Linked DNA regions of Kluyveromyces lactis. The protein of the gene in region 4 purifies or fractionates together with the protein of the main gene of each other region. This does not show direct contact. Links are inferred from orthologs where the notes say so. Each region holds a gene or a part of one and is shown on either strand. Other genes may lie near its edges.

Region 1 (4,988 bases), on a different chromosome or scaffold from region 4:
AGTCTTGCACATAGAAATTTATTAAATAAATAGTAGAAAGGCTGGATAACACCGAACGTTGTGAAGCATGCAGATCAGGGGCAGAAACACTGGACAATGGACCCATTCGGGTCCACTGTCCATTGAGAAGTGGTGCCAGTGGTAATATCAACACCGTACACAATGACATTTCCCTCGAAAATTCTGTTTCTGCCAAAGAGGAACGAAACAGGAAAGCCTTTAGCATTAGATAAGGAAGAGACAGAGACATATATGGTTGGAATACGATTCAATTCTGATTTAAGAGTTGTCATTTAGGACTACTCCAGTAAGTACGATAGAATTTTAATGCAATCTCTTAATAGTCAGCTCGGAGGATTGCCAAATTCGGAGCAATTTTTCGGGAAGGGCGCTGTTCAGCAGCAAGGGCCAGTTGGGATGAACGGGATGCTTTTCTCCCCTTCTATGAATAGTACTCGTATGATGCCTCAACAGTCGCAACAACCACATGTGCTGCATGGGCTTGAGAACAATGGGGGTCTTCAAAATTCGTACTTGTTGAAACAGAAGATGGATGTGGTAAACAGTGCTTTTGGGCAGCAAAACAACTTACAGCAGCAGCAGCAACCGGGAAAAATGCCGTTGCCGAATAATGGGCAAGTTCCTATGATGATGCAGAACAGCATTTCCGGTGGTAACTCTAATAACAATACGATTCCACAGCAGATGCAATTTCCAATGCCGGTACAACAACAGGCAATGGGAAACGTGAACGGGCTTGATACAACACCATTACCTAATGCATCTCATACGCCAATCTCGTCTCCAGCGCATCTTTTGATCAGAGAAGTGTGGCAAAACAACGTAAACTTCGAGTTTGCCATAATCCGTAAAATGATCGAGCAATACAAAGTTATTTCTATAAGCACCGAGTTTGTCGGTACGATAGCGAGACCCATTGGGAATTTCCGCTCAAAGACAGATTACCATTACCAGACGATGAGATCCAACGTGGATCTACTAACCCCAATCCAGATTGGACTTTCGTTAAGCGATTTACAGGGGAATAAACCAGACAACTTCCCATCCACATGGCAATTCAACTTCCATTTCGACGTAACAAAGGAGACCGTGAATTCGGAATCGTTAGAACTATTAAAGAAATCCGGTGTCATCTTGGAGAGACATCAACAGAACGGTGTTGATTTCGACGAGTTTGCTCAGTTGATGATGGATTCCGGGTTATTGTTGAACGATGAGGTCACGTGGATCAGTTACCATGCAGCATACGATTACGGGTTCTTAATCAACAGGCTCATGAACACAAACATGCCCAACAACAAAGAGGACTTCGAATGGTGGGTTCAGAAATACATACCAACGTCGTACGATTTGAACCTAATTAACAAGTTAGTTCATGAGGTAACGCAACAACACCCACATCCACCACCATTACATCTATTACAAAGTCAACAGCAACAGCAACAAAACCAACAACAGCAATATACACTAGAACTACTGGCTGACGAGTTGGGGATTCCGATCTTCCCATTGTTCAGCAGCGCAGCGGGACAAAGTCTCTTGGCACTATTGGCATACACCCAACTCGGTAAATTGTCTTTGTACAAACTACGCAATGGAACAGATTTCAGTTACTACAAGAACCTGATCTACGGAATCACACAGGAGTAATATATGTGATTTTTATGTGCCAGCCTTTCATATAGAGTATCATCAATAATGCATTTATGTATGTGAATATATATATATACATACACAATCATTCTTAAAATAGGGTATAAAAGGTGGCTGACTAGCCACCGTCACTGAACTGAACTGATGCTGACCAGTGCGAAACCCACAGGTTGCAAGAGCGCAACCTGTGTACTTCATTCACCTGGCATCTCGTGAGGCATGATTTCATAAGATGATTGACGAGTTTTCCATTAAAAAATTTTGAAAATTGACTCTTTACATATAATCACTAGATGCAAACATGCACATACTTTGCTTGTGAGGGGCGTTTCTTGTTGTTAGGGTGTCTATTTGGTTCGCTTATCGGTTTTCATGCATTCATTAGAAACCAGACTTTAATCTTTAGCGATAAGTTTGAAGCGTGAGGCACATATACGGTGTTCGTAGTGCTGAAATTTCCCGTGAGTCTGGAAAAAAGCACCCATAGGAAATTAATACTTTTTTGTTATTGTATTCTAGTATACCCTATACTTTCCTGCTTGAATATCCACCGTTAATACACTTGGATTAAAACGTTGTTAGAGCGTTATTAGAGCGTGCTTTTCCCTTCTTTTTTTTTTTTTTGTTTGACAGTTTTATTTTTAATTCATTCAAAGGTCTTTCTGATTGACAACGATTGACTGTATTGCATTCATTTCATACACTTTAGCATTCCAATTTGATTTTTTGATACCCGCGATCGGTTTGAAATTGAGAGTTATCAAAGAATAGTTGAATTCTTTTACAAGAACCAGTGTGTTTTTTCCTGTTTAGATTAATTTGATACAATCACATTTGGTTTGGAAAATATGACCACTTACGATGTGAAAGAGATCGGATATGCGTTCCTAAGGACGTACTATGAACGTATGCATAATGATCCATCGAAATTGTCGTGTTTATATTCTACCACGGCGGAATTGACCCATGTGAATTATAATGAACCTATCAAGCATGACAAAGATTATTTAAACACCGTCAAGTTGATTGGTAAGGATAACATCAACAATTTCTTTACCAGAAACAGCAAGCGTGTACAGGATTTGAAGGTCAAGATTGATTCGTGTGATGTGCAATCTACTGGGTACGAGAGTTCTTCGATTCTGATATTGATATTAGGGGAGCTATGCTGGACGGATTCACCATCTTACAGATTTTGTCAGTGCTTTATCCTGGAACCAGCAGAGTATAACAGTAAAGTCTACGATTTGAAAAACGATATCATTCGTTTCATTCCTGACCTTGCTCCATTAGTGAACCCAGACCAGCCAGTATCACCACCATCTGCTGTTGTTGTTGAAGCTGAGAATGAGAAGCCAAATGTCAACGGGGACGCAGCTCCTGTTTCTGTTCCTGTATCTGTTTCTCCAGTAGTGGTAAAGGCAGCAGCGAAACCGGTTGAGATTGTCAAGCCAATTCCAACTGAGAAGCAACAGCCCTCTACTGCTCCAACGGAAACAAAAGTGGAACAACCCCAAGCCGTTTCAGTAAATAAAACTAAACCTAAGGAAAATGAGGCGATTGCGCCAGCTACTGCTCCTGCTGCTATTGCAGAAAAAGAAAAAGAAGACAAGGAAGACGAAGCACAAGCACAACCAAAAGAGCAAGCGACTTCAGCATCAGCCACCCCAACCTCAACGACAACCCGTTCTGAATCGGTGCCCCCACAAGAGGTTCCTGAAACAGAAGTCACCCCAAAGGCTGAACCAGTGAAAATGACTTGGGCAGGCAAACTCAACAAGACATCTAAACTAACTACAAACTACATCAAGGTAGATCTTCCACAAAAGAAGTCTAAAAGTCCACCTCCAAACGGATTCACCAAGTCAAACAAGAAAAGCAAGCAGCAATCGAAACCAATAGGCGACGTTATCATCCAAAACAGCAGCGGTTTCTACCCAGTATACGTGGGTAACACAAATGGGTTGACCGCATCCGAACTTGAAAGAGCTCTAATAAAAGAATACGGTGATGTCGTAAAAACCTCATTCCAAGATTCGTTCGCTGTGGTTGATTTCAGAGAAAAACCTGCAAGAGACGCTGCCATCGATGCTCAACATTTAAAAGTCGGTGAAAGAGTTATTAATTTAAACCCAAAGGGCGATAAAGCTTCTAAGTACAAAGCCAAGAACAACAGCAACAATAGTAATAGTAATTCTGGTAACACTAATCACAACACAAACGGCAACAGTTCACATAATTCCCCATCACCAGAACTCTCGTTAAACCAAGGTAATTCCACGCTTAAAAAGAGCTCAGTGAAATCCCGTAATGACAAATCAAAGAACTAATCTCATGTACTTTAATCGTAAACCCAAATCATCTCAAACCTAAATGAAAGGCGTGATAAAACCATATTATAAAAAAAAAAACCATAAAAAAAATTAACTAAAACGATGAAACTATGAGTCGGGGAAAACTTGTTAAATATATCCGTATGTAACCTATCCACATGTACATTTTATATATTTCCCTCTCACTATAAGCATATCACCGAAACATTATTGTTGTCTTCCCTTTTTGTTCCTTCTTTCTCTAAGTCACAACCCTTTGAAGTTGGTTCGAGCTTGATGAAATTTAAAGGAACAAAGATCTTCATGTGCACATCACAATGATAGAAAAGGTGATTGGCAGAAAGATCAGTGCTGAAGCCAAGGGGACAGGTGAGGAGATACAACTCTAGGGTCATAGAAACCATCAGCTATGTTAGTTCCTCCAGCGAATTTCGGGATTCCCGAGGAAGGTATCTATCGATGCAGTAAACTTGAGACCATTAACCTATCATTTTTGGAGACTTTGAATTTAAATACGATCATATTCATCGGTGGTCAAATCCCGAGTAATTTCTTCAAAGAGTTCTTCGCCACTAACGGCATAGATTACTTTGTCATTAAGACCTCTGGTGATTCGAGTTCTTTGGTAGCCCCAGATCACAAAAAGCGTCAATCTTCTGCGAATCATGGTGAGACGAGACGGAAGAGTCTTTGTGATAACTGTCACTACAGTTACACACTCACGGACCAAGACGATTTGATGCTAATCAAGAGTCAGAGCATCCGGCGAATATTCCGGATACTGTTAGATGTCTCGTACCATAACGTATTGTTAGTGGATAAGACGTCCGCTGTGATTGGAATATTGAGAAAGATTCAGAAATGGGAACTATCCTCGATAATCAGCGAGTACAGGCTATTCACAGGGAAGAACAAGAACTACTTTGCAGAGACGTTTTTGGAATTGATAGATATACGGCTAATACAAGAAGAAGAGCAACC
Region 2 (4,803 bases), on a different chromosome or scaffold from region 4:
ATGGTTAGTTAAGGACGCAAGACCTAATGATGCATTGTTTTTCCATTATTCTGGCCATGGTGGACAAACGGAAGATCTTGACGGTGATGAAGAGGATGGAATGGATGACGTTATATACCCTGTTGACTTCCAAATGGCTGGTCATATTGTTGATGATGATATGCATGCGATCATGGTTTCTCCTTTGCAGCCCGGTGTGAGATTAACTGCATTATTTGATTCGTGCCATTCTGGTACAGTATTAGATTTGCCATACACTTACTCGACAAAAGGTGTGATAAAAGAACCTAACATGTGGAAGGACGTTGGTTCTAGTGGTTTACAGGCTGCTATGGCATACGCTACTGGTAATACAACCAGTTTGGTCAGTTCTTTAGGAAATGTATTCACCACCATCACCAAGTCCAATAATAACGTCGACAGAGAAAGAGTTAAGCAAATAAAATTCTCGCCAGCTGATGTCATCATGTTTAGTGGTTCAAAAGATAATCAAACGTCGGCTGATGCTACTGAAAATGGTCAAAACACTGGTGCAATGTCCTGGGCTTTCTTAACAGTACTATCAAAACAACCTCAACAGTCCTACTTAAGCTTATTGCAAAATATGAGAGCCGAGTTAAGTAGCAAATACACTCAAAAGCCCCAATTATCTTGTTCGCATGAAATCGATACCAATCTTCAGTTCCTACTATGATATTGGAGTCTTAATCTTATTGCAATCAAGTATACGATGGTATTATAACGTGCTTTCTTTAAAAGATTATATAAGAATATCCAAACATAAACCTACATATAATCAATTCAGTTTCTGTTTAAGATGCTAATATAATTTAGAAGTCATGGGGGTCATTTTGTTATGAGGACACTCCAGATGAAACATTTTAATCTTTTCCAGCCGATAAGTTTTAATATGTACTTGAAATACAAGAATGAAAAAGGCAAGCAGTGGACAACAGAAAAAAATAAGTCTCGTATCTACATCAGTTAAGCTTCAGTTGGGACAGCGGCATCAGCGGCAGCAGCGTCCTCCTTTTCCTTTTGTTCCTTCAATTTTTTGGCTTCAATTTCTTCCTTAACTTTCTGTTCTTTAGCTTCGTACTCTAAGTTAAGTTTCTTGAGCTGTTCTTCAGCTTCTGCAATGTTCTTTTCAGTAGCTTCTGGTTGCTTGGCAGTCAAGTCCTCATGCTTAGCCTTCAACTGTTCAACAGTGGCTGGAACATCGCCCTTGGATAATGGTACTCTGATATCTAATTCGGCCAACAAGGCGATCATGGATGGCTCTAGAGAGAACTTTGTAGATTGCGCCTTCTTCTTGTGTTTCTTTGATTTGGAAGCGGTTGAAGCGGAGAAGAATCCTTCTCTTTCCTTAACGATTGGCACTAACCCTTCAGAATCAACAGTCTTAGTTGGGGTGGCAGTTTGTTGAGATGTGCTACCGAAATCGATACCCAAGACGTTCTTCACTGGCTTAACGTAAGTTGGATCCAAAACAGTCAACATATTCTCAATGGATTCCAATTCGAAGGTGAAAGCAGGCTGTTTGGCATGGTTTAGTCTTTCTTGTAGCTTGCCCACTTTTTCTTCCTTATCTTCTAAGATCTTGGATAGTTTTTCGTCTTCTTCACGTTTCAAACGCTGCTCATCCAACTTCTTCTTGAATGACTTGAATTCGTTGTCGAAATCACCTCTGATCTTCCTAATTTGAGTGTAGATTTCGTCACGCTTGTTGTACAAGGCAGAACGCTTAGTGATTAAAGTCTTTCTCTTGTCGTAAACAACTTGGTTCTTAGAGTTTAAGTTATTGATCTGACCTTGGATAGTTTCGAACTTTGCGGCAACCTCCTTCGGGTTAGAAGCGTTCAATTCCTTCTTCAAAGCATCAATTTGTTCTTTCTCTTCTTCGATAGATTTTCTAATTGGTTCCACAACTTGGAAATCTTTGGACAATTTGTGCAAACTTTGCATTTCCTTGACTCTTAACCTTTCCTCCACCAAGGATAAGTCACCAGAAGCGATTTCATCGTCAATTTCAGCCAATCTTTGCTTGATTTGACCAACATTTTGGAACTTCTTGTTCTTACCGACCAAATCGTTGATCTCACCAGATTTACGTTTGATTTGAGCATCCAAGAACTTAATCTGGTCATGGATTTGTTGTCTCTTAGCCTTCAAGTCCGATTGAGTTTTGATCACTTCCTTCAATTCACCTTGCAGCTTTTCCTTTGAATTCTTAGCATCTTTGGAGAAATCGGTATTATCAATTTGTTGCTTGATCAATGATAATTCTTGATCAATCTTCTTCAACTGAACATTCAATGGCTCTAGCTTCTTGTCTCTGACAGTAACATCAGGTTTCTGAATATGTTGTTTTGGTCTAGCAGTGGACATCCTTGTAATATATTATTATTCTATGGTTATTCACTTGGTCACCTGGAACTAGCAACTGAAACAAGTAACACAAAACAGACTGGTGGAAAAGGTTACAGTTAAAAAGAAAACTTTAAGTATAGAAATGGTAACTTAATAACACTAATTGAACTGAAAAAATACTGTCTCAATTAACGTATCTCAAACACAACCTTTGTAGATCAAGAATTTGATTCTGTTCAAGAATCTGAAATTTTTAACACGTTTGAATAATTTTTCAACGTTCAATTAAAAAAATATCGAATCTTTCCCAAAAGCTTTTTTTTTCTGGAAGACACCACGAATCTTCTTACAGATCAACAGTGCTCTCAGACGGATCGGACCTTTTGTGTGTATTATTCCCTCCGGAACATGACAAAGCTTGAGCTTCAATCTGGGTAGACAATATATTCTGGTCATTTACAAATTTTCGTTTACTACACAGCTTCTCATCCTTCTAATTAAGTTTCCTACTCTTCCATTGTAATACGTAGGTGATCCTCAGCGACAATTTCCGGTTACTGTCGTTTGAGATTTTTCTATATTAAATAAAACTGGGACATTTCTCTCACAGTGTGTTAGTTCATTGCAAAGCTTCAACAAATGGAATAAGAAATGGACAACAGCAGCAGCCTACTGTGTCACTATTGGTAGCATCTCGAATCGCGTGTCTTTCGTATAAAAGTTTCCATTATTTGGCCGATACCGAAATGCAAACAAAAAAAAAATTAGATTTAACGAACAATTTAAAAGAAGAAAAGTTGAGCTCATTCTGCTTTAAAGAATCTTCGAAAACCATCTTGCGGAATAAAGCTAAGCGTATGCATCCTGTAGGACGTGCAGGAATTTCAAACTGAACCTTCACTTAGCGGACCAACAGAAGAGATGTCAACTCAAACTTCTACCTATGCGGACCTTGTGCATTCATTAGAACAAGATGACATCTTAGAAAAGTTTCCTGAGGTCATCCCATTGAACAACAGACCAAATACACATTCTACTGAATCCTCTGGCGAAACGGATAATTTGCTAGATGGATATGATGAGGAACAAATCAGATTGATGAATGAAAATTGTATAGTTTTGGATTGGAACGATACTGCGATTGGTGCTGGTACAAAAAAACTATGTCATTTGATGGAGAACATCAACCAAGGTCTATTACATCGCGCATTTTCTGTGTTCCTTTTTGACAGCGATGGTAAATTACTATTACAACAACGTGCCACTGAAAAGATTACTTTTGCAGATCTTTGGACCAACACATGCTGTTCACACCCTTTGTGCGTCGATGACGAACTTGGACTGAACGGCTCTTTGGAAAGTAAAATAGAGGGTGCCAGAACTGCAGCAGTTAGAAAATTGGAACATGAACTAGGTATCCCACCACAAGAGGTTGAATCTAAAGGAGAATTCCACTTTTTGAACCGTATTCATTACATGGCTCCAAGCGATGGTGCTTGGGGAGAACACGAAATTGATTATATATTCATCTATCAATTGAGAAAAGGAGAGACTCTGACCGTCGAGCCAAGCACTAATGAAGTAAGAGATATTGCTTGGGTATCTCAAGAAGAATTAAAGCAAATGTTCGCAGATGGTAACCTAAAATTCACTCCATGGTTCAAATTAATTTGTGACAATTATCTATTCCAATGGTGGAATCAATTAAATGATTTGAACAAAGTCGAAAATGATACCAAAATTCACAGAATGATGTAAAAACAAAACAAAAGTTGAATTCCGGAAACATTGTACATTGACTCATCTATTGAATGAGATATTCCCTATTAAACGAAAAGTTCACCTGGCAGATATTCCCTTTCCGCTTCTCTACACCTAATGATTGCAATTAATTTTGGTTTATTCTATTTACATGAATAATATTTCAGAAAAATGTCCAGTAATCCAGTATATATCTATATGTATAGTGCAAAACTCTTTCTTTCAATTTAAGAAACCATTAATTAGTAGAGCAGTAGCAACACTAACGTTCAATGAGTCAATAGTGTTTCGTCCCTCGGTTGGGTCTCTCCCAAAAGGAATCTCTACAGTGAAATCACTTCTGTTCAGTAGGTTTGTTCTAACACCGTTTCCTTCATTACCAACAACCAAAACTACTGGTAGCTCGTTCAGCATGCCACTTAATTCATTCATTGTTAAGTGATTTCCTTTCTGTGAAATGCTCATATGTGAAGTAACAAACATCCATCCTCCATCCTGTTTGGATTTTTCAAAGAACTGCAAGGGTTTAGCGGTGGTAAATATAGGTAATAGTTCCATTGTACCACTACTGACTTTTGAGACCACTGGAGACAATGGCGCACAATTCTTGTGTGAGAGAACCATAAAATCCGCTCCTAAGAAATATGCACTTCTGATGATGGCACCGACGTT
Region 3 (5,113 bases), about 800 kb from region 4:
TAATGGAACATGTTCTTTATATGGATAGAGATCTCGTAGACGCGGACGTTCTTCAACCAATCTCAAATCCTACTAAAATTGTAAATGAATCTGAGCTATCGCAGTTAGCAACTTTTTTACCGAAGGAGATTGTTTTCTCCAGGTTCCAGAAATTATATGTTGGAAGGGAATCGGGCTTTTCTATGAGATCTTTCCAATCTAAGGTCTTCAAGTGGATGGCACCTACGATATTATTCGTAGAGGGTATGAGAATTCGTGACGAGGACGATGAAGATGGCGATGCTTATGCCGTGAAAAATCCAAGGTATAGAAACTTTCTGCAAGAATATGGTAAGTTAAAAAGTGAAGATCAACATTTGGATACGTTAAGTAAGAAAAAACGAAAATTGTTATTTGCTGTTTGTATTCGCGACCCATGGAAAGTATCAAATAAAGATTTGTTTGGTGATTCGTCTACAAAAATTATCCAACTTCATCCAAGACAAGAGATCTTCGATGCGGACCCATTCAAGACAGGAAACGTATATTTCAACACTGTTGGGGGAGGTATAGGTATTGGTAGCTCTCAACCTATCATCAAAGCTAACGGTAAAAAATACTTCCCAGGAAATGTTTCACTTACTATTGATTCATCTCTCGAGTTCGGTATATTTAGACATTTGGGAGCAGGTGGGAGTTTTAAGCCTGGCCGTCTAATAAGTGGACGTGGAGAAGAACGGAATTCGTTCGAATACCGATTCATAATCCAAGATGTAGAAGTGTGGGGATGCGGAGGAGAAAAAGAGCTCGAAGAGCAAGTAAAGCAATGGCAATGGGAAGAGGCCGAAGCCAAAAGAAGGCAAAAGATCAACTTACAAAGCATGGGAGAAGATCGTGCATTATTGGAAATGGCAGGTCTTGTAGGGCAACATCAAAGCGGTGGATCTATTTAAAATCGCTAAGTAAATATTAAATATTTGAAATTGCATAGAATTTTTAAATTGATCATTTCTTGCTTTTCGTCTTGTTAATGAGCTTTTTCTTAACGTGTTTTTTTACTTTGGTCTTCCTCTTTTCACGTTTGGCCTCTTTTGTTTCTTGCTTACGTTGTTTTTTAGCATCTTTATCTTCGTACTTTTTTCCTTTCAGTGGAGTGTCTTTATCGGAGACCCATCCATCACCATCAGAACTATCGTTAGTTTCATCACTATCATCATCTTCATCTGATCCAGCTATGTCATCTTCATTGATATCCGTTACGAGGTTAGGGAGATCATCACCATCTACGTCATCTTCCTCGTCATCAGAAGAAGAGAGTTCATATTGCTCCGATGCTGTGAAATTTTCGGAATATTTCCTGTTTTCATTAGCAATTAATGATTTCAGTAGGTCAAATTTACCATCAGTGAATCTATCAAAATCTCTTTCCTCTAAACCACCCAAATTTCTTATCAAATGTAAAGATCTGAACACTTCATCTTCAGCTTCGTCTTCATCAGTCAACTTTAGAGGTAAATTGTCGGCAACATATGTTTCTAGATCATCGCTTGATCTGTAATCACCCTTGAATTTGTCTAAGACCTCACTGATGATGAACTGGAAGATCACCCGTTCAGGGAAAATGTCAATTCCCAATTTTTGGAAATATGAGTTAACATTCTTAATATCCATTCTTAGGAAATCTAGAGACATAGGATGTTCTGGTTGTACGGATTGCGAAACATCAATAATATAAAGCTTATCCTCATGTACAATACTATTATACTCACTCAAGTCTGCATGAACTAAGCGACATACCTGATATAACAGTCTCATGTACGCTATCATTAAATTGTAGTAATGTTTAATTTCTTCTCTATCTTTGTAAGGATGATCTTTAAGCCTCGGAGATGCGAAACCATCTCCTCTATTTAAAAATTCCATGACTAAAACGTTTGATCTAACTTCTATTGGTTTTGGACAAGGTATGACACCGCTTTGGTATATTCTCTTCAAGTTTCTAAATTCCTTTTCAGCCCAAATTTTGATCATCTTACGAGGATTATGTTGAGATCTCGAATTTCTGAATCTAAATTCACCATCAACGTATCTTTCACGATCCTTAAAAACCAAGATAGATGTCTTGTAAATCTTCACCGCGTATTCCTTCTTATTTTTTGGTTCATCAGTGGCAGTTGAAGTGGATGTGGCATCCTCAGATTCGGCAGTTAGAGCTTTTTGTTTTGTTGATTCAATATTTTGTGGGGCTCCTATTGTATCATCATGTCCCTCTACCAGCAGATGTCTCTCCTCATGATTACCAGCAAACGCATGGTACACGTTTGCTTCTTTACCTGTACTCAAACAACCATTAAATGCTGATAATATTCCCCTGTTCATCATGGATTTCAAAAACCTCATCGTACGTGGGTCTAAAACATTCTCTACAGTGGCCCTATTCGCCTTATCTTTGCTGGTTTTACCCCTAGTTAATGATAACTCATCTGTTTTGATGCTATTGGCATACCTCTCTAGGATCTGAGTGTTGACATGCTCATCACGGTTGGCTAAATTCAGTTTTTCCAGCTTATCGTCAATATTCATCATTCGTAGTCCAACTATAGATAACTTCTGCTTTCTGATTTACTAATTTGACAATACACAGGAGCTGAACGGCGTATATTGTTCTGTAAATAACCACTATTCCAACCTCATCGCTCATCTTGTACACCATTAAAGTAAAGTAGCGTACTTTTTTTTTTCCTACGTTTTTTTTTCACGATGCTCTAGACAGGATCGCGAATTGCTTTTCAATAGAGGAAATAGTTGTAAACATTCTAAAACGCTCAGTAGATGAATTGAAAGGTCTACCTGTGTAAGTGGAAGAAACCAACTTGCTTTAACGTCAGGGTTTGTCCTTATTATACTCCTATGCAGCAGCAATCAAATATGGTTCATTTGCCACAAGTATGTTTCTTTTGGGTATTTAACCGCAGTTGAAAGACGTTTTTACATGATCGTTTGATGCATGGTTTTTTTTTGATACCAGTAATATGTACTAACAGATGACATTGCCCTTTAGACATTCCTGTCTTATCCCTTGTACATAGGTGTTGAGGTTGCACTTGGTGTGCTAACCTTCAACAAATTCAGCGGGATGTATGGTGTTCTTGCACTTTTCACTGGACACCCGTTAGACTTTGTGCAATGGACTTTTTACATCTGGTCAATTTTCTGTCTAGTGGTATTCATTTCAGGAATAAGACAAGTTTATAAGCCCAATATCCTCTTAATGTCCACGGTTACTTTTGTGTTCAGTGTGGACACAATTGTTAGTTGCATTTACTGCTTATGGTTCACTGCTGTGTGGTTCAGCCAGGAGGGCTCCACTGACGTTACGGACTTGAAGAGCGCGGGAACCGCACTTGGACCAGCTCATGAGGGAACCACATCCACGATCTCAACTAAAGTAGATACTTCTAAGAGTGCTTCTAGCGGCTATGAATTTTTCCTCATCATATTGCTAACTTTAGTTCCACTAGCAGTCAGATTCTATTTCAATTTCATCATAATTGCATTCCAACAACAACTATTGCGCAGTGGGAAGTTCACATTCGATCAGAACGATATAGAAGTCAATCTACACAACAGAAACATTTTGTTTAAATGGAGATACAAATTCGAAAAATGGTGTTTCTACCTATGCAAGAGATACTTATAGCCCGGTACCCTTTAAACACATCATTATATAGATACGGACTAATATTATCATATAGCTAACATTGCATCATTGTCTTTTCAAAAAGTGGTCCAAGTGGGGTTCGAACACGGAATTAATTCCTAATCAGAGAGCAATTTTTTGATAAGATGCACCATCCTATTGAGAGATCAGTAAGAGTGACTCATAAAAAAAAGCGAACACAAGACCATCAATTGGCACTGGATATGACACACAATGCGTGATCACTCTTGACAGGGTACCTCTTTATACAATGAAGCTTGCATCGCTCATTGTTCCTGGTTTTCACCTCTGATTCATATCTTCAGGACTCTATTGTATTGTTCTTTCTCACTCATTATGTGCATCTATGCCGTTAGCTGTTTTTTTCTTTATATATACTGCAATGTGAAGTATTTCCATTTAGGAAGTTTCTTCAAAAATCTCATCGCTAACCATATCACTTAACGGTAAGTTGATCTGAATAGATAATAAAGGGCACTGCAGTGTTAGTTACTAGACTTTGGAATCTGCTTAGTATCCTGCATCCTGTACGCTACATTAGATAATCAAATTGAACCGGTCGAAAAGGCTTCCTTCCATACTTTAACCCAATAATGAGAGTTATCCGTCAATTACACACTTCTAAAAGATTGTTGCAATCTTTAGTCGATAAACAAAAATACCAGGCAACCACTTATGCCAGACCTAATCATTTGGTTCTGACTAGAGGTAAGAACGCCATTCTTTATGATGATGTTAACAATAAAGAATATATTGATTTCACTGCTGGTATCGCAGTAACTGCTTTGGGACATGCCAATCCGGAAGTGGCTGAGATCATGTACAAACAAAGTAAGAAACTGATCCATTCTTCTAACTTGTACTATAATGAGGAATGTCTGAAGTTGAGTGAAAATCTAGTGGAAGCTACTAAATCGTTTGGTGGTCAATACGATGCATCCAGAGTTTTTCTATGTAATTCCGGTACCGAAGCCAACGAAGCTGCATTGAAATTCGCCAAGAGATACGGTATCCTAAAAAGCCCATCGAAGCAAGGTATAATTGCGTTCCAAAACTCTTTTCATGGTCGTACCATGGGTGCTTTGTCTGTTACCAGTAATCCAAAATATCGTGAACCATTTGGTTCTTTGATTCCCGGAGTGGAATTTTTAAATATTAACGATGAGCTGACCAAATTGGATCAACAAGTTTCTAGCTTGAAAGAAAAGACTGCTGGGTTGATTGTGGAACCAATTCAAGGTGAAGGTGGTGTGTTCCCAATCCCATTGGACACTTTAGTTGGATTAAAGAAAATTTGTGAGGATCACGATATTATTGTCATTTACGATGAAATCCAATGTGGTCTAGGTCGTTCAGGCAAGTTATGGGCACATTCATACTTGCCAAAGGAGGCTCATCCAGACATCTTCACTA
Region 4 (5,584 bases):
CGAAAAGATCATTTAGTTCGTCCAGGACGCCTGTACTTCTCGTGGCAGAGCTATCACCCATGTCAAGTAGTACATCATCGTTCATGTTTTTCAGGATCTCGTTCGTGGCCATTCCCTTTAATTCATCAATATCCTTATCCTTAATGATGTGAACTTCGTTGGGACGGCGTTGCATCTGCGAGATTGGTTTGAAATACACAGAGGATAGAGTGGAGAGCTCTTGAAGTAGACTTTGTAATGTTTCCTTGGAGAAGTGGTCCAAGGTAGAATGCAATTTAGGAATTTCATGCTTGTCAAATAATTGGTTGATGATTTGATCACCGTTGTCGATCGATAGACACCGCCAGTACATCATGGCCATGTCTCTAACGTCCAAATCGTGGACGTCTGTCGTACAAAGTTCCAAGATCTTCTGTAAGAAAGCACTTGAGACTGCATTATGGCATTTCACTACACCCATTAGAAGGGACATTTGAGTTAGGGATCCTAATTCATCGAAAACTTCTACCAGTGGTTCAAGCTTAGTTTCCAAATTTTCGTTTGTATAGTTGGTGATAAACCAGATGTAGTTACAACTGCCTAGATCAGATGTAAATATGGTATCGATATCTTGCCATGAGGAAATTATGGCACCCAACTCATTCTTACTTGTTTCCTTGATAAGATTGTTGTCACTGTCATAACGTAACATGTCGCATACGCATCTCATCAATATATCCCTAAACTCTTCTCTCTCCTGGACAATCGAAACGAATTCTTCCATGACCATATTCAAAAACTTGTTATTCGTATCTTCACCTCCGTTCGAGACTTTAATGGCCAATTGTGAGATGGATTGGATAGCTTTGGTCACGAATTCATGATCAAAGTCCTTTGCATATTCTTTTAATTCGTTGAAAAGCATCTGGCAATGTTTCAAATTATCCACGGGCACTAATCTGAGCAAGATGTCTAATTTCTCTATCTTCACGTACAATGGATCATTAAATTTGACATAGAATATTCTTAACTCTTTCCTTAACAAGTTTGGGAAGGCATCCAAAATAATTCTTATATTTCTCAAAGCAACATATTGGATCTCCACTGGGGTCGACATTAGTGAGACCAATGCAGTTGATAACTTGTTGTATATAGAGTCATGGACTGTGTTCAAATTTGGTAGATGTATGAGTATACATTTAACACTGATCAAGACCACTGATGGATTTACGTGTTGCAAATGTGGAACAACTCTATCGATAATTTCTTGAGACTCCATAGGGTCAATTGGTTTGTGTTCGCTCAATGACTCCAAAATAGTGATTCTTGCCCATTCTGTACATTCGTTCAACACGTTCAAAAACCTCTTAACGTTTTGAGATACTAATTTCTTGATATCTATTGAACCAGGGTCCAATTCGTTAATTTCGTGCAGTGCGGCAAGCGCGTTGGCAACAACCATTGGATTATCGTCAGACAAAGCGTCTTGCAAATCGTTCAATACGCCCAATTCACGGCATAGGTCCGGGTTCAATTGGAACAATTTTGCAACGCATAGTACCGCGGTTCTTCTCACGTACGGATTATCATCGACTAGAGTCTTTCTTAGCGGAATCTCAATGTATTCCAAGATCTTATCAACTCTGATCATCGACATGGTACGGATTGCCATAGACCTAATCAATGGGTTCGGATCAGCTGCATCGCTGACGAATGTGTTCACGACAAGGATGCATAACTCCGGATGAGTTTCTGCATAATTAGCCACGTAAAGGTATACCAATTTCTTCTGTTCAATGTCTTGAGTGGCTATATTCTTCAAAACGTCGGGAAACAAAGATGAAACATCTTTGCCGGAAGTCATCTGTTGAATAATCTTACGGATCGCGTCCTTTCGGGTCTGTGGGTACTGAGATACTAATCCATTTCGTAGTTCAAACAATTCACCTTTATTGGAAATCTTAGGAGCCACTCGTATGGCGTCTCTTAAGAACTTCTTGATCTTCTTATCAACACCCATTGTTTCCCTTGGTATTTATGAGAAAGCAGAGCAAGCAATTGGCTGGAGGAAGGAAGACTAATCGCTTGGGGACAGAGTCTTGAATATAAACAGGTTCATCTATTTATATACAGATTCCAGTTAATTTGATTGATGTTTTCTATGAATACTGGAAAGTGAAAGCTTGCTGGCGAGGTCACGTGTGTGCTCACGTGTATCGGAAGATTCCGTAACCCGGACATCATATGATGTCCGGGTTACGGTATTGAGAGATCTCACTTCCTAATAAGAATGGTTACTACCTGATTAGGGAAATTGCTAAGGGAGATTCACACTTCTGCGTAAATTCTTACGCACCGCAGTGTGGTGTACTGATATACCCGACTTTTTATAAAAACACAGTCCTCAGAGTTGCCAGACCAAAAGATACGCGCGACACCCTTACACCATTCAGCGTACCACTCAGCACGCACCACGCACATTGAAAAAAAATTCTTTTCTAGCCAAAGCTCATCACTTGAATATTGAGAAAGTATTAAGAACTTGATATAACTTGCAAGAGTTTACTGCATTAGTATTAAGCTATCAGTTCTTGTTGATTGAAATTGTTATCTATTCTCTTCTTTTGATTCATCAGAACAACACATCTCAAGGAATTAACTGAAAAGAAATGTCTTCCAGCAATATTATGCTTGTTTTGAGAGGTACCCTAGAAGGTCACAACGGCTGGGTCACCTCTTTGTCTACCTCTGCTGCTCAACCAAACTTGTTGGTTTCTGGTTCCAGAGATAAGACTTTGATCTCCTGGAGATTGACCGAAAACGAACAACAATTCGGTGTCCCAGTTAGATCTTACAAGGGTCACTCTCACATCGTTCAAGATGTTGTTGTCTCTGCTGACGGTAACTACGCCGTTTCTGCTTCTTGGGATAAGACCTTGAGATTGTGGAACTTGGCTACTGGTAACTCTGAAGCTAGATTTGTTGGTCACACCGGTGATGTTTTGTCCGTTGCCATTGATGCTAACTCTTCTAAGATTATCTCTGCTTCCAGAGATAAGACCATCAGAGTTTGGAACACTGTCGGTGACTGTGCCTACGTCTTGTTGGGTCACACCGACTGGGTTACCAAGGTCAGAGTTGCTCCAAAGAACTTGGAAGACGGTGAAGTCGATGACGGTAGAATCACTTTCGTTTCTGCTGGTATGGACAAGATCGTTAGAGTATGTGCCAGACTTTTTTCTTTTATTGCATTGCATTGCATTGCCTATCTCCCGATTAGATTGATTTACCTTGGAATTCAGGTCCTCAGTTGTTTCCCCGTAATATATTCTCAAAATACATGGCTCAATTCACTATACTATGACAAATGATGTTTCTTATATTTGCTACTTCAGACGTAACCTTACATGGTTTCGAATGAGACATACTAATTATCACCAAGATCTCTGATGTCTTTTTAATTAGTGAATTAAAATTTTGAATTGAGTTTTGTGCATTTGAATATCATGGAGCGAGCAATTTGGGCCTGTATTCCCAGATATATCTCATGGCTTTGAACCAAATATCATTTTTACTAACAATATTTTGGGAATTATCTTCCATTCCCCTTATTAACTACAGTCCTGGTCTTTGAACGAAGACTCTTACAGAATCGAAGCTGATTTCATCGGTCACAACAACTACATCAACGTTGTTCAACCATCCCCAGATGGATCTCTAGCTGCTTCTGCTGGTAAGGACGGTCAAATCTACGTCTGGAACTTGAAGCACAAGAGCGCCTTCATGAACTTCGACGCTAAGGACGAAGTCTTTGCTTTGGCCTTCTCTCCATCCAGATTCTGGTTGACCGCTGCTACTGCTTCTGGTATCAAGATCTACGACTTGGAAAACGAAGTCTTGATCGACGAATTGAAGCCAGAATTTGCTGGTTACACCAAGGCTCAAGACCCACACGCCGTTTCTTTGGCTTGGTCTGCTGATGGTCAAACTTTGTTCGCCGGTTACACCGACAACGTCATCAGAGTTTGGCAAGTCATGACCGCCAACTAAGTTGTAGCAATTTAAAATCTCTTAATTTTGCTTTTATTCCCTACAATTTATTCTTGGTCGTCGTCATTACCAATAAATCATAACATAAATCCCTTATGTATATATTAGTTATACAAAAACTTACATTATAATATTAGATCTCCCCTCGGTTAATCTGTCTTATAAGAGTTCCGATATTGTTATCTTAGCTTATTATTATGTTTTCAATGGTTTCTACCTATACATGCATAATATGCATTTCGGTTAGGCAAAACCGTGGCACAGGGCTATTCCAAGGGCAACCCGGTACCTTAGCTTCCCTTTCTTCATATCACCCTTTCTTTCTCTCTCTTCCTGGCGAAAACGCAGAAACTCGTACTCTATCTATAATGGCAATTCTATTTACTTTTTGAACTTTTACCGTTCACTTTAAACCTCTTTGCAAAATATTCCGTTTCAATTAAAATTTTTCATATTAACAAACTTAAACTTACATTAGCTTAGGTTGGACTGGACTTGGTTCTTCTACTGCTCATATTGTTTTTGTGTATTCAGATTATATTTGCTACTGTAAATTGTAAATTGTAAATTAAACCATTTGTTTCTTTGTTCGTTTTAAAAGGTACAAGAATATCACTCTAATATTTACAGGACAGATCATATCCAAAAATTATGTCATCTTCTGCTGATAATTCCAACAACAGTAGCAGCAGGTTCCCTGCTGCTGTTGACTCTATCAATAACAACAGTAATAGTATTAACGATGCTAGTCAATTCCACAACAGTTATAATGAAGTAAATGAAATTAATAATGATACTAATAGCCAAGTGAACAACGGTAACAATATTACATTCCACGTCCTTGTTTCTTTGAAAGAAGCAGCAAAGATCATTGGCCCTCAGGGGAATACCATTGAGACGATAAGGAGGGAAAACGATATCAAAATCGGTATATCACCTCGTGAAAAATCATGTTCTGATAGGTTATTGAATGTTAGTGGTCCCCCAAGACAAGTGGCCAATTCGTTGGGTCAAGTATTACGTGTGCTAACTACGGATTACGAGCCTGAGGAACACGTTTTCAAGCATCTAAGATTCATGTTACCTCCAGCATCGAAGGAAGAGATTGAGGATCCAGAGAAATGGAAACAAATTGGTAATTTGAGATTAATCTGTACCAACCCACAGATTTCGTCAGTCATTGGCCAACAAGGTGCCAAGATTAAGAAATTGATTGAAACGCATACTGTTAAACTCGTTGCCTCGAAACATTTCTTGCCCGATTCTAAGGATAGAGTATTGGAGATTCAAGGGTTCCCTACCTCGGTTGCCAACTGTATCAACGAAATCGCAGAACTGTTCATTCAAGACGACGTCCATGTACCTCCAAGAACTTTGCCCCGTTACTATCCTCATTCTAAACATACAAAAGAGATCCAAGTGTCTCAAACGTTGGCTATTCCAAAAGAATTTGTAGGTGCACTTTTGGGAGTTGGTGGTAACCGTATTGCCAACTTGAGAAAATTCACAAAGACTAAGATCGTCATCGGTCAAGATCCAACTGAAAATGGTGACA
Region 5 (5,895 bases), on a different chromosome or scaffold from region 4:
ATTACACATCACGTGCCAATATATTCAGTTCAATCACCAATTTAGTGAGGTGAAGAATCCTTAAGAGAGATGTAATGTAGACGTCTCTAAATGACAGTTATATTGTACAGTAAACATGATTAATATTATAGGTAAATACTTGCTTTGATTCTTTTCATAACAATATGCACAGGTGGGAGGGTTGAAGGTAAAATAACTCGAGGTAATTTCTATCAAACTTAATCATCTTCGGCATCCATCAATGCATCAAACATGTTGGCAGCGCCACCAGAAGATTTAGTTGGAGTTGGAGCTTGTTCTTCCTTCTTTGGCTCAGAATATCTCACTGATGACGATCTGGTAGTAGTGAAACCGTCTCTATTTTGATTGTGACTGTGAGAATGAGAGGAGAAATCTCTTCTAGAAGAGTTTCTCTCGCTATTCATACGTCTGGAACCACCTCTGGACCCATGGCGATCTCTTTCTCTTTCTCTTTCCTCCAAAGCCCTCTTCAAGGCTTCTTCTTCGTGAATTTGAGCAATGGTCTTTGGACCATCGTTCTTATTTTTACTATTCCAGTTCCTCTTTTCTCTTAGTTCGACAATGTCGATCAACTTAAACTTGATTCTGCTGGAGATGTCACCATTTTCGATCACGTTCTTTATTTGGTCGAATAGTGTGTCTAGCAAGCTTGAACCCTCAATGACAGCTTCTGCAGTAACTTGAATACGAGCACCTTCGAACTGTTCACCAATTGTTTCCAAAAGTTCACATACAGACTCTAGAGTATCTTCAGTAGGAGAGTTTTGAATATCCTTCATTAGTCTCTTGAAACAGAAGAAGACCATTCTGGAAGTCAATAAGTTCGAACGGTACAAGAAACCAATGAAACGAACCAAACCCAAACCTCTTCTCTTAGCGGCAGCCATCTTATAGTATTCATCGGACATCATTTCAGGTTGTAGAGGAGTACCGTCTTCGTTTGTAGGTAGTTGATCAGTCCATCCTGTTTGGAATTCAGTTTGACATCTTTGGACTAAGTAATGCAAAACCAAGTGAGAACCAGTCTTATCTGGGGTTTCTGAGTCTTTAATGCTATCATCTAAGTCTTTAACGACCTTACCACATAATTGCGCGTACATTGATGACCAATGAGGTTCATCGCAGGCCTTATTGAAAATTTGTTGGATGACAATCTTCAAAGTCTCACCCTTTTCTTCCCATCTAGATTGGTTAGCGATCTTCATGATATCATCAGAAATAGGTTCGAACATTTCTAATGTCAATTTATTCAGCAATGACTTCATCTTTCTTGATGCTTCTTCCGCGTCGTAAAGTTCTGTTCCGTCTGGAGCTAACTTGACTTCTGTTTTCTTCATCTTAGATTTAGGAACCCATCTATTAGCACTTGGGACCAATGGGGCAACCTCAACCTTTGGCTCTTCGACTTCTTCCTCTCTGAATCTTTCACGGTCCTTTCTGGAAGTGTATGATCTATTAGATTTTCTATCATCCCTCTTTGACTTCTTCTTCGAGTTGGACCTGGAACCCGATCTGCCTTCACTTCTTAGAGATCCAACCTTACCCTTACTAAATCTATCTTCGCCTCTTCCGCTTGAACCAGGCTTCTTAGGAGGGATGACAATTTTACTCGTCATTTCAGCCATCCACGCTGGATCGTATTTAACATCGACCTTTTCTTTGAACTGATACAAGAAATCAGGTCCGTATGCATATTTAATGCTTGTCTTTTTATATCTATCATTTGGAGGCGTAATGTCACTTGGGTATTGGAAGGAATAAATATCATCAACTGGAGAAACCTCTTTCAACTTCTGTAGGAAATCGGTCATGGTAATCTTTCCATCGTCTTCAACTTCAGCCTCTTCTCGAGGTTTTGTTTCAACATCAGCAGGAGTTTCAACGGGACCAGCAGGAGCCGGTTCACCTTCTTCGGCGTTTGCTTCAGTTGCTGTTTCTTCAGTTGCTGTTTCTTCAGTCTTTGGTTCTGCAGGCTTTGATTCTTCCGATTTTGGTTCTTCAGTCTTTAATACCTCGGTTTTTGGCTCTTCAGTTTTTGATTCTTCCGACTTTGGTTCATCTGACTTTGGTTGTTCAGTCGTCGGTTCCTCGGTCTTTGGTTCTTCAGGCTTTGGTTCTTCCGCCTTTGATTCTTCCGCCTTAGGTTCTTCAGTCTTTAGTTCCTCGGACTTTGTTTCTTCAGTCTTTAGCTCCTCGGTCTTTGTTTCTTCAGGCTTAGATTCTTCAGTCTTTAGCTCCTCGGTCTTTGTTTCTTCAGGCTTAGATTCTTCAGTCTTTAGTTCCTCGGTCTTAGCAGAAGCTTGCTTTGCAGCTTCCATCCTCTTAAGTCTCAATTTTTCGGCCAAAGTCAATGGTTTTGGCTCAGCTGGAGCCTCTTCCTTAGTCTTTTCTTGTGATTCTGATTGAGCTTCTTCAGACTTGGCAGATTCAGTGGCTGTAGGCCCTGTCTTAGTATCAACGCTTGCATCAGTGTCAGTTCCAACGACAGATTCCTTCGGTTCCTCAGGACCCTTCTCTTCGACAGCCTTCTTAGCAGCTAAAGCAGCCTTGCGTCTTTTAACTTGTTCCAAGAAATCGTTCACAATTAAAGTGTCCTTCTTTGGTTCTTCAGGCTTAGCTGGAGATTGTTCCTTACCATTAGCAGCAGGGCTCTGTACTTTGACAGCTGGAGAAGCTGATGGAGACACAGAGGATGATACAGCAGCAGCGACGGTAACGTTAGCTGGAGGCGACACTACTGGAACTGCACGCGAATGAGATTGAGAATGAGAATGAGTATGTGGATGAGCAATGGAAGCAATATCTATGTGTTCACCAGACTTGTTAGTAATCTCAACCTTCGCTGGTTTAGCTGAAACAGCAGCTGGAGACACTACTGGGGGGACATAACCTTGTCCGCTCATTGGAGTCTGGTAAGCAGCAGCGTACAGCTGTTGCTGCTGTTGGTACTGGTTATAGTACAGAGGGTTGTACTCTGCCGATACGCCGTAGTTCGGAATGTATCCCGCAGAAACACCGTACGCTGGTTGGTTATACTTTTGATAGTGCTTATTCGAGGAAGAACCATTATTATTGTTGTTGTTACCTCTTTGGTTATAAGGCCTAGAGTTCTTCCTGTTACCATCATATTTCCCATTTCTAGGAGCACCGCTTCCAGCAGTATTCTTGACATATCCACTGTTTTTTTGCGGAGAACTGGTTGTCTCCTCCTGCACAACTGGAGCTTCAACAGCTGGTTGCTGATCGGATGTAGGTTCGCCCATATCTGCTTTGAAAAACCGCTCTTTCTCTCTTCTTCAGATGAAATTAGCTGGATCTAAGCTCTTTTCTGTTTAATTTCTCTCTTGTAACCGAGTAATCCAGAGTACCTAGAGAAAACGAGTCGAGTTATATAGAAACACGAATGAGTAGAATGAAATTAAAGTCCAATTCTTAACTCTTTCTCTTTAAACAAATAAACGAAGAACAAAAAAAAATTATCACTTTCTTGTGAGATTCTTTTTTTCCCAGATTTGTTTCTTTACTGTCCACTGTTACTCTCTAACAATTCAAACAATACAAGTGCTGATAAATCTATTGACTATCAGATCAGCAGTAGCTCTCTGTGCCTCTTTTCCTCTATCCTGTTTTATGCAAAATGTGCTATCGTAATGGTAAAATTCAATGGCTTAAAGGTTGAAATTTTATTTCAAAAGATTCACAGCTTTTCCTCTTTACAATGTAAAAATTTTTTTTTTCTTCTTTCGTGTATATTGAGAAGATTGACATGATGGTCAAGTTTATGACGAGATGAGATGCGATGAGGGGGAAAAAGAGAGGATCTGATTAGAAACATATTGACACGGGGGTACAACCACAGGCGTGTGTTGTACGTGGCTTATGTATAATATGTAGGGATGTATCTAATGATATGCGCTGTTTGAGATGAAAGGGGTGAAGGATCCTTACTTGAACAATTTTGCTACAGAGATAGCAGTTTCGTCGTTCTTGTTCATGACCTTGGCCACGGCTAGTTCAAAATCTTCTTGGGTTACGTGAATTCTACGTTCCCTTAGTGCGTACATACCAGCCTCGGTACAAACACCTTTAACGTCAGCTCCAGAGCATCCGTTCATCTTTTCGGCGACTTTCCTTAGGTTAATACCACGGGTCAAGTTCATCTTTCTTGAGTGGATTCTTAGAATCTCTGTTCTAGCCGCTACGGTTGGTGGTGGGAATTCGATTTTTCTATCAATTCTACCTGGTCTTAGCAATGCAGGGTCCAATATATCCAATCTGTTTGTAGCCATGATGATTTTAATGTTTTTCGAAGTTTCAAACCCGTCCAATTGATTCAACAATTCCAACATGGTTCTTTGCACTTCGGAATCACCACCGCCAGATCCTTCAACACGACTGGAACCGATAGAATCGATTTCGTCCATGAAAATGATAGAAGGCGCATGTTCTCTAGCCATCACGAATAACTCACGGACCATACGGGAACCTTCACCGATATATTTTTGCACCAATTCGGCACCACTTACTCTGATAAATTTACAGTCTGTGTGATGTGCTACGGCTCTCGCTAGTAAAGTCTTACCAGTACCTGGCGGACCGTATAGAATAACACCTTTAGGTTGAGCGATACCAAGACTTTCGAATAGTTCTGGGTGTTTCACTGGTAATTCAATGACTTCCTTGATTTCTTTAATCTGCTTCGTTAACCCACCCACCATATCGTATGTAGAATCAGGTACTTTTTCGACCATCATTAGAGACACTAACGGATCTACCTTGTTCTCCAACACCTTATGTAATTGGTACGAGTCACTCTTCAAGCATACACGCTGTGATACTTTCAAGTCCTTGACGTTGATATCCTTAGCAACATCAACAATATATTTTCCTTCAGGCTGAACTTTCACCAAAACTTTTTTCTCACTGATAACTTTCAACACTTCTCCCACGTATGATCCAGATTCCTGCAAGAGCCTCAATTCATCCTTTATAAATCTGACCTTATCATTCAACGCATTTCTTTGAGCCTCTAGTCTACGCAAATTCGATGTCTTTTCTCTGATCCTAAGCTCACTTTCCTGGATTTTTTGGTCAAAGAAAGGCTTGATACCAGAGTCATGGCTCGTCAAAGGAATACTCGAAATTTGTACAGCACTCATCCTTTACAGTATAGGTTAGTTTTTCTTTAGTTTTTAACGCTTCTCTTATTCTTTTTAATCCCAAGAGATAGTTTACTTTCTAGTGGCAATTATAAGGAATTATGGTATCAGTACCTTCTCAAATGAATGATAATTCGTGTCTTCTATCTTAAATACCACTATTGGATCGGAAAGCCCTTGCAATTTGTGTTTGCCACTCGTTTTACTCTAAGATTGTGTTTAAAGATTACAGCTTTTCAACGTTTATAATGCCTTAAATTTTAACTTTCAAACTGTAAGTCCTTAAGTATGAGCATGTCCGTTGAAAATGATTATGATTTCAGTAATCATCACAAGCATAGCTAACCAGATCTATGCAGGTTGCAAGTAGTCGTGAATAACATCATCGGCGAGGTGCGGTTCGCCGAATCGATAATTTAGATCCAAATAGAGAAAACAATGAATAACACTGTTCTTGTAACTTGCGGAGCTACTGTCTCTTTCCCCAGACTGGTAGAAACAGTACTTGATAGATCTGTCACAGAGAAGTTGAAAGTTTTAGGGTATGGCAGAATTGTGATCCAGTACGGACGTGGGTTTAGTGATACATTTTTACAACTAGTAGAGAAGCACCTAGGTCTGTTTACGGAGAAGAAGAGCTGTGGCATCAAGGTTTTGGATAAGATTGAAAACCTTAAAGTAATCTCTGTGGATGGAATAGAGATATGTGGGTTCG

Evidence for each region. Proteins that work in one complex are often made in the same cells at the same time.
Region 1: the proteins of ASC1 (region 4) and BRE5 purify together in Saccharomyces cerevisiae (affinity purification with mass spectrometry; 3 studies listed by BioGRID). This does not show direct contact. The link is inferred for Kluyveromyces lactis from reciprocal best matches to the Saccharomyces cerevisiae genes ASC1 and BRE5.
Region 2: the proteins of ASC1 (region 4) and BFR1 purify together in Saccharomyces cerevisiae (affinity purification with mass spectrometry; 3 studies listed by BioGRID, with this or other methods). This does not show direct contact. The link is inferred for Kluyveromyces lactis from reciprocal best matches to the Saccharomyces cerevisiae genes ASC1 and BFR1.
Region 3: the proteins of ASC1 (region 4) and RIO1 purify together in Saccharomyces cerevisiae (affinity purification with mass spectrometry; 3 studies listed by BioGRID). This does not show direct contact. The link is inferred for Kluyveromyces lactis from reciprocal best matches to the Saccharomyces cerevisiae genes ASC1 and RIO1.
Region 5: the proteins of ASC1 (region 4) and KLLA0_A04730g purify together in Saccharomyces cerevisiae (affinity purification with mass spectrometry; 3 studies listed by BioGRID). This does not show direct contact. The link is inferred for Kluyveromyces lactis from reciprocal best matches to the Saccharomyces cerevisiae genes ASC1 and TIF4631.

Annotation. Positions count from the first base shown.
Region 1 is NC_006039.1:1,666,330-1,671,317, reverse strand, and holds BRE5 (Bre5p), read left to right. Parts: upstream 1-2,522; coding exon 2,523-4,004; downstream 4,005-4,988. Other genes in the region: CCR4-NOT core DEDD family RNase subunit POP2, read left to right, coding at 328-1,671; OCA4 (Oca4p), read left to right, coding at 4,417-4,988. UniProt on the Saccharomyces cerevisiae protein: Has a role in de-ubiquitination. In conjunction with UBP3, cleaves ubiquitin, leading to the subsequent mono-ubiquitination of sec23.
Region 2 is NC_006042.1:82,342-87,144, forward strand, and holds BFR1 (Bfr1p), read right to left. Parts: upstream 2,389-4,803; coding exon 985-2,388; downstream 1-984. Other genes in the region: Ca(2+)-dependent cysteine protease MCA1, read left to right, coding at 1-694; isopentenyl-diphosphate delta-isomerase IDI1, read left to right, coding at 3,292-4,128; MRM1 (Mrm1p), read right to left, coding at 4,354-4,803. UniProt on the Saccharomyces cerevisiae protein: Implicated in secretion, nuclear segregation and in maintenance of cell size.
Region 3 is NC_006041.1:1,883,904-1,889,016, reverse strand, and holds RIO1 (protein kinase RIO1), read right to left. Parts: upstream 2,566-5,113; coding exon 985-2,565; downstream 1-984. Other genes in the region: RTC5 (Rtc5p), read left to right, coding at 1-932; KEI1 (Kei1p), read left to right, coding at 2,890-2,925, 3,041-3,679; ARG8 (acetylornithine transaminase), read left to right, coding at 4,294-5,113. UniProt on the Saccharomyces cerevisiae protein: Required for the final endonucleolytic cleavage at site D converting 20S pre-rRNA into the mature 18S rRNA. Required for the final steps of cytoplasmic maturation of the 40S ribosomal subunit.
Region 4 is NC_006041.1:1,084,130-1,089,713, forward strand, and holds ASC1 (40S ribosomal protein RACK1), read left to right. Parts: upstream 1-2,648; coding exon 2,649-3,200; intron 3,201-3,341; exon of another isoform or gene 3,342-3,433; intron 3,434-3,600; coding exon 3,601-4,029; downstream 4,030-5,584. Other genes in the region: APL2 (Apl2p), read right to left, coding at 1-1,999; HEK2 (Hek2p), read left to right, coding at 4,681-5,584. UniProt on the Saccharomyces cerevisiae protein: Component of the ribosome, a large ribonucleoprotein complex responsible for the synthesis of proteins in the cell.
Region 5 is NC_006037.1:421,645-427,539, forward strand, and holds KLLA0_A04730g (uncharacterized protein), read right to left. Parts: upstream 3,285-5,895; coding exon 219-3,284; downstream 1-218. Other genes in the region: proteasome regulatory particle base subunit RPT6, read right to left, coding at 3,966-5,180; N-acetylglucosaminyldiphosphodolichol N-acetylglucosaminyltransferase catalytic subunit ALG13, read left to right, coding at 5,619-5,895. UniProt on the Saccharomyces cerevisiae protein: Component of the eIF4F complex, which interacts with the mRNA cap structure and serves as an initial point of assembly for the translation apparatus.